2 linked regions of the Xenopus tropicalis genome follow. Each later gene encodes a partner of the first gene's protein in a complex. Links are inferred from orthologs where the notes say so. Each region holds a gene or a part of one and is shown on either strand. Other genes may lie near its edges.

Region 1 (3,827 bases):
CAGAGTGAAGAAAATCCATAGAACATCACATTTAATTTCCATTTACTTGTTTATTAACTGATTAGCAGCAAGCAAGCAGTCATGTCAGAGCAATCAATATCCATCAGCTTGTTTGGAGCATTCATTTAAGAGGCTTTCCGTAGGAGAAATCTTGCAGACCTTCCTTGCCATCAGATATACGTGGAGGTAAAACCTTCATAATGAATGTAGTGAGGAAGTTTTCCTTATATACATGTAAGTTGTATAAACTCCAGAACATTCAGTGTGTGATGGCACAAAGGAAAGTGTACAAGAATAGGTACTTAGCAAACAGCATGCATCTAAACTGCTAATATCTAACTCATTATTTGGTGATGGATTGTTGAAATAATTGATGTAATTTCTCCCCAGGAAACAGCATTTTTACTGGGGTTAGTAGTGGTTAAGCGTAGGTGGAATTGTGGAAATGAGTGGGGTCTAATCGGAATGGCCTACTCTTGGCCTTAGCCAGAAAAAAAACAAATATGTAATTTTCCATTCCTTGATTATTTAAGATCATGCCTCTTGTTGCGTCAGTGGGTTGTTTCTGAACAAATTGTCTTTGCATCTGTTCACTAATAGGTCCAAAGTAATGCAACTGCCCAATTTAATTTTATTGGGCAGGATGGAACATTCTGAGTTTTAGACTAGATTTCTGGGTTGTGAATCAACCCAGTCAGACCCTGCATGTAAGCCAAACAAGCAAATAGATCAGTCAGTGGCATGCAGGCTGAACCTTGGACAGTCACCAAGGTCTTTGACAGAATTTGGGAGGATTATAGCATCAATAGAAATTATCTAGTGGCACAGCAATTTTATTGTATGTGTTTTGGCATTAAAGCCTAAATGCGATTTGGGTGATGTCAGTGCTTAGCTTGGTTCTTCCTTACCGCTTTACTGATGCTTCCTTGCTTTCTATGCTATCGCTGCTGGCAAATTGTTTGCAGTGGGCACAGGCTCAGCACCGGGTTCCCAGTTTGGCTCAATGACCAGGCAGATCTCTCGGCACAACTCCACCACTTCCTCTGCTTCTTCTGGTGGCTACAGACGGACTCCTTCTGTGACTTCTCAGTTCTCTGGCCAACCTCATGTCAACGGCGGGCCTCTGTATTCTCAAAACTCAAGTAAGCTGCTTCTCTGCTTCCTATGCTGCCCTTGTATGCAACTCATGTATGTATACAACTCATGTATGGTGGCTTCATCCATGTTAATATGGAATAGAAATATGTTGGCAAAACACTCACATATTGGCTTAGTGAGGAATAACTGTACTTGGATAACATCCTGTAATCTACCTACTTCTAAAGCAAGGGGGTACTGGAAAGATTAAAGAAACACAGAATTCCAATATATACTCTATCTATAGGGGCTGTCCATGACCTGAAAAGAAGCCAAATTTATGTTTGATGAAATATTGTCTGCTAATATAATGAATTTTAAACAACACCACCACCTGCTGGTCATTTTGGCCAACTGGCTACAGTCAGCTGAAAATTAATTTGGTTAGAAAAGGAATGTCTTGTAACGTTGCTCTGGTTCGAAGCGACCAGAGAAGCGTCAGATGCCTCTTCTCTGCTCACTATCTTCATTTTCAAAGCAGATCCACATTACAAGACTTTCTTTTTGTCATAAAATTAATTTTCAGCTAATTGTAAAATTGCTCTGAGCTATTTTACATACATTTATTTCAAGGATTTATATTTAATTTAAGCCTTAATTGATTTACCAGCTGGTTTGCATGTTATGGCTGCAAGAGAAAATAAGCTGGGAAGAACAGGGCAGCTATCTTTTCTTTATTACTTATAGCAACATGAATTATCTTTTATGCAACAACTTTATATATTTTCTCATGCTGTTTTTTGTTTAGTTCTTATCTTGTCTTTTCCTGCAGTGTTTGTCTGTGCTGTGTGCTACGGCAAGATGTCACTGGTTAATGTTTTGATCAGTTACATGTAGAATGAAATATCAATATACTGTATATCAATACTTATAGCTCCAGGATAACCCCTCCCCCCCTTCCATTTCATCTAGAGCTCAATGAATTGGGCTTGTGCTGAACATATCTTTTGCCTATTATTTTAATTAAGGAATATCTATGGTTTTTGTTATTTTTTGCCTAGAACAAAAACTATAACCACTTTAACTTTCCAACTTCCTGTCTCAATTCATGTTTCTTCCTTGTTTTTCCTTGTCACTGTTTGAGAAGTAGTAGGTGGTAGAAATAATAATAAAAAAAAAAGAGAACAGTTCACAGATAAGCCCTCTGTATAATACACTGCTCCTTATCTCAAAAGCTTCAGCATAGGCAAGGGAGGGGTTTGTTTATATAAAGGTCCTTATATGCATTTGCACACCTGTTGGGGGGCGAGTGCTCCTATAAAATGCAACACAACTTTTAATTACTAGATTAATGAAAAGTATAGCCAGAATGCATTGTCAGCACAAGTCCTGTTTATTGTGGCCATGCTGAGTAAAGTTGTGTATAGGTATATACAGTCCCTTAACCCTTAACTGCTAAAGCCTTAATAACCCGGAACAACTGCAGTTCTCACTCACCATCAGCAGTCATGACATTATTTAAAGATCTAATTAAGCATAGTTTCATGAAGTTTTTTTTTCTCACATTACTTTTAGTATATAGAAGATGTAGGTAATCTAAGCAACTTTGCAGTTGACTTTTTTTTTTCTCAAAGATATATAAATGTGTGTAAAATGTATGTTTTCCCCCCTTCAGTCAGTGACACAAGTAATTGCATAGTGTTCACTGGAGAACTGTAAAACAAACTTATTGTATTCACATTAAAAAGACCAACTGCAAATTGTATTACAGTACACTGGCTGCATTATACTACTTACAGTAGCCTTGGCCTTCAATAAAGTAGTTATTTTGCACTGTTATGAAATGCTCACACAATTGTCTGTTTAAATGGGTGTGTAAATCACTGCATCTAAGTCTGTTGGTACTACACGTTGCATGTTATAAATAAAAGTTTACCCTTAAAGGTCCATTAATACAAATAAAATGGCTCCATATACATAAAATGGTTGTTGTGGGTCTGACAGACCATCAAGGGGTGTATATATAATTATCTTCTGGTGTTTGATTATTTTATATGGCGGCAACAAGTTCCACCCTGCTTACAGCCCCAAAGCCTAAATCTCCAGGCATTTGTATAAAGTAAATGGAACCATTTTTTTTGTTGGTCGCCCTTTAAAGGGATGGTCACAGCAGTTTCTGGCCTTACGCACCACAAGACCTGTCTGCCTCCTTTGTTTTTTGAATGCAGATTTTATGATGAAATGACAATATGGCTTGAATGGACATTTGCAGATCTACTGAGATAACTAGAATTGCCATGCATTAAAGGAGAACTAGAAGTTCTGAACCATATTAGATCATTTATATGCTATTAAGTGTCCAGCCATACAAATTTATTCAGCTGCTTTATAATTAGAAGTTGATATTACCCAGTTGCATCTTTTACTTTGAGCCACCTTGTGTGATCAGCTGACAGGAAATAACGCAGCTTCTAGATGTTACAGGAAGATGTGTGGGATTAAAAAAATAAAATACAACTCCAAACAATGTCCATACACTGGCTGCTGTACTAGCATGAATGTGTGCCCTTGGTTTGTGTGTAAGCAGTGCCTCACAAGAGCCAGAGGGATGGACTTTAGAACAGGTATGGGACCTGTTATCCAGAATGCTCAGGACCTGAGGTTTTCCGGATAAGAGATCTTTCCGTAATTTGGATCTCCATAACTTAAGTCTGAAAAAAATCAGTCAAATATTGAATAAACCCAATAAG
Region 2 (3,827 bases), on another chromosome or scaffold:
GAAATGCACACTTAGCTTCTCAAGTGGTGGGCTAAATATGTGAAACACTGTGGTTTGCCCCTTAGAGTGCCCCTTGTGATGACATTATTGGCCTAGAACAGTGCTGTCCAACTGGCGGCCCGCGGGCCGCATGCGGCCCGCGACCCCCCTCTGTGTGGCCCCCCACCTGTCTGGCTGCTTTGATGGCTTACTCTTGTGTAAGCTTTAAATGGTATCAGTACTGTGATTAACTGGCCCCCTGCATGGTTCTCACCTCAGATTCAGGCTGTAATCCCCCTGTATTGTTTAAATATGTAATCCCCTGTGTTGTTCACACCTTTTAGTTTCTGCATTGTTCACCCCCTGCAGTGTTCACACCTCAGGCTCAGACTGTAATCACCCCCATTGTTCCCCTGTTCACACCTCAGGAGCAGTAGAAACCCACAAATAATCCCTGCACACTACAAAAAGAACATATACTGAGGTGGTACTGCAATTAAAAAGTTTTTTAATATATAGTTATTGTGCAGACTGTAGGAGCAGTGCCAGCATTGTGTCACTGTAGGCTGCCTGTGTGTGCCATACACACAGGCATCATATGGCAAGCAGAGTATGGCACACACAGGCAGGGTAGGGAAGGCAGAGTATGGCACACACAGGCAGAGTATGGCACAAACCAACCAAGAATGGCAAACACAGTGAAAGTATGGCACACGCAGGCAAGGTAGGGAAGGCAGAGTATGGCACACACAGGCAGGGTAGGGAAGGCAGAGTATGGCACACACAGGCAGGGTAGGGAAGGCAGAGTATGGCACACACAGGCCAAGTATGGCACAAACCAGCCAAGTATGGCACACAGGCAGGGTAGGGAAGGCAGAGTATGGCACACACAGGCAGGGTAGGGCATGCAGAGTATGGCAGGTTTTTGCTGTACTACAACCATTAATATGGGTATGGTCATGTGATAACATGGGTGTGGTTTCAAGTGGGTGCGGTTTCAAAAAGGGGAGTGGTTTCCATTATCGGCCCTCCACCACGTAGGTCGGAAAAATTCCGGCCCTCGGTACAACAGAAGTTGGACAGCACTGGCCTAGAATATCAAAATCTGCCCAAGTAGGCAAAAATCAATATATCATTATATAGTAAGCATATGTCACCAAGGTGGAGGCAGTTTACATGAAACTTAACCTTATTGTACCATTTTACTGGTTCCTAACTACTTGTTTACTTGGGGTAAAATAGCAATTTAACACTAAATCCCTTACAGAAATGCATTTGCTATTCAGAATTCTAAGCAATTATTATCTGTCACTTGTTTCCTCTTATAATGTATATTCATATCTCTATTTTTCTCTAATGTATACTCTGCTGCATAACAATTAGCTTGATACCAGTTGTTCAAGTTTACCTGTTGCTACAGCCTCCACAATCCCATGAACACCCACTGATGTGAGTTGACTGCTCAGTGTCAATCATCTTCACATACAGTTTCTTTGTATGTTACAAAGAGAAATTGTACAAGTCATAGATGGGGAAATCCTGCCCTACACATTCTGGGTAGTGTTCTGTACAGATGCCCTACGATCAAGAGCTGATAGTTTGGTATCATGTGATGCATGCAGCTCGGTGTGGTGTTAACGCTAAAGAGGAAGTGGAAGCAGTCATTTTGGTAGCTCTGAGGGGGGCTGTCTTTTTTGGTTTGCTTTTTAAGGGAGGGAATGTATTGTTTTCCTCCTTTAGTGCCTATCGGGCTGGTAAGCAGTAATCAAGGTGTGTTTGCTTATACCTGCTATCACTGTCCTCTATATGTGTTACACTAAGTTGTCTCCTTTAGGCTTTCATGGAGTCCCAGCTGTTGGCCTTCCCTATATAAATTCATTTTATATATTCATATGAATACATGGAGGTTTTTAACATACAAATAGTTGTAATTAGAGAGAGGCAAGAATAGTGTCGGTTCATGTGTTGAAGGGGTTACAGCTGCAGTATCTTGCTGCAGGCTCCAAGCTGTAACCAATGAGCTGGGGAGGAGGGGTGTGCCAGCCTCTCACACCTGGCTCTCTTGGCAGTTGTCTGTCCCTAATCCCTTCAGGGCCTGCAGCCTCCTGCCTGCGTGATCAGGCCAGTGCTAGCCTCTGAAGTGGGAGGAAACAAATCCCTGCACACTGAGTCATCCCTTTGACAGTAGCGAGTAGCTGGGACTTAATGTGTGTTTGTGTGTTTCAGTCTGTGTAATTCTGTATCTGCCTGTATCTCTGCACACACACATAACCAGTATAAAATGCATGCATGCAGCACATACTTAGTCAGCCTGCTATCTCCCGTGGCTCTAAGTGCATGCTGGGAATTGCTAATTAAGGATGTCCGGCAGAGGCTCTCCTCCCCCCTCCTCTCTCTCTCTCTCTCTCTCTCTCTCTCTCTCTCTGCCAAAGCATTACATCCTCCTGTCTATCCGCATAGCTATCCAGAACATTCTGCTTCCCTGCAACACCCCCATCCTTCCCTACCTGTGACTTGTACAAGGATTCACAACATGCTCATTATCAGTTTATACAGACTTGGCATCAGTATACAGAGCAGTGCGTGTGCATTATCATTGGGTTTGGGCACTGTGTCATTCTACAGAAGTGCTCAGAAATACAAATCATATTTATAATATAAATATATATATATATATATATATATTGTGCTTATTCTTACTGTGTAGCATTATGCCTTATGCAAAAACATGTATAGCAATGCACTACTTTCCATCACAGAGCAGTGTGATTATTACCAGTATGTGATGCTTATTGTTAGATAGGGTGTGTGGTGTATGTGCTTTTGATTATCTGTGTACCATTCTTGTGCTCTGCTAATGAAGACCATGCTAGGTACATTAATAACAGAGGGTTCCAAGCTTCTCTCTAATGTAAATATTACAGCTGTATAGAACATGTTTCATTGCTCATCCTTTACCCTCCTTTTGCTTTCTGGGATTTCGTGTGCCACCCCAAGCCCCAAAATGTGTTTTTTTTTTTACTGCTACAAAATCCGTTTGTATTACCACTTCATCTGCTTTTCATCCTTATTTTTATTTCCTTGACTTTTCTCTTATGTTCCCTTAGGATGCCGCTGGTCGCTCGATGTATTGAGCCGCGCTTCCTGTGCCGGCAGAAGCTTCCCCCTGTCCGCAGTGAACTGGAATGTATGACCAACCTGACTCTGTCCAATGTCATCCGCCAGCTTGGAAGCCTAAGTGAGTGACACTGGGGAAAGAGGAGGGGGTAAAAGATTGAGGACTTTGTGCAGGAGAAAGTGAAAAGGTTATAGATCTTGGGCAAGAGAATTCTATAGTAAAGAGATAGCAGAAATTGCACCTTTTTATAAATTTATAAGAGATAATGAGAAGATTGGTTACAAAATATTGTGGGGATGGAGATAGGAAAACAGAATAGTAAACATATATCTATCTGAGTTTTTGATGTTAACCTAACTATTACTGTATGCCAGTCGTTTTCCTTTTCTTCCTTTTCATTAATCTTTTCTCTTTATTTTATGGATTATTTCATCCTCTCTATATCTGTATTTTTTTCTTCTGTTCTCTTTCTTCCTCCCACACCTCAATCTCATCTCTGTCCTCCAGTGCATTTTCTCTCCCTTTGCCCTAGTGTCTTTCCACCTACATTATATTCACCCCTCCTTTTCAGGTCGCTATGCAGAAGATATATTTGGAGAGCTTTTCAGCGAGGCTAGTATGTTTGCACACCGCGTGGGATCTCTGGGGGAAAGGGTGGAGAGACTTCAGGTGAAGGTGACCCAACTGGACCCCAAGGAGGAAGAGGGTAAGAAAAAGAATCAGAAATACC

Evidence for each region.
Region 2: abi1 (region 1) and wasf2 share a complex: the UniProt entries of both Homo sapiens proteins name them as parts of the WAVE2 complex. The link is inferred for Xenopus tropicalis from reciprocal best matches to the Homo sapiens genes ABI1 and WASF2.

Annotation. Positions count from the first base shown.
Region 1 is NC_030682.2:24,995,736-24,999,562, forward strand, and holds part of abi1 (abl interactor 1), read left to right. Parts: intron 1-965; coding exon 966-1,142; intron 1,143-3,827. UniProt on the Homo sapiens protein: May act in negative regulation of cell growth and transformation by interacting with nonreceptor tyrosine kinases ABL1 and/or ABL2. May play a role in regulation of EGF-induced Erk pathway activation. Involved in cytoskeletal reorganization and EGFR signaling.
Region 2 is NC_030678.2:78,043,181-78,047,007, reverse strand, and holds part of wasf2 (wiskott-Aldrich syndrome protein family member 2), read left to right. Parts: intron 1-3,086; 5' UTR 3,087-3,087; coding exon 3,088-3,217; intron 3,218-3,668; coding exon 3,669-3,803; intron 3,804-3,827. UniProt on the Homo sapiens protein: Downstream effector molecule involved in the transmission of signals from tyrosine kinase receptors and small GTPases to the actin cytoskeleton. Promotes formation of actin filaments. Part of the WAVE complex that regulates lamellipodia formation.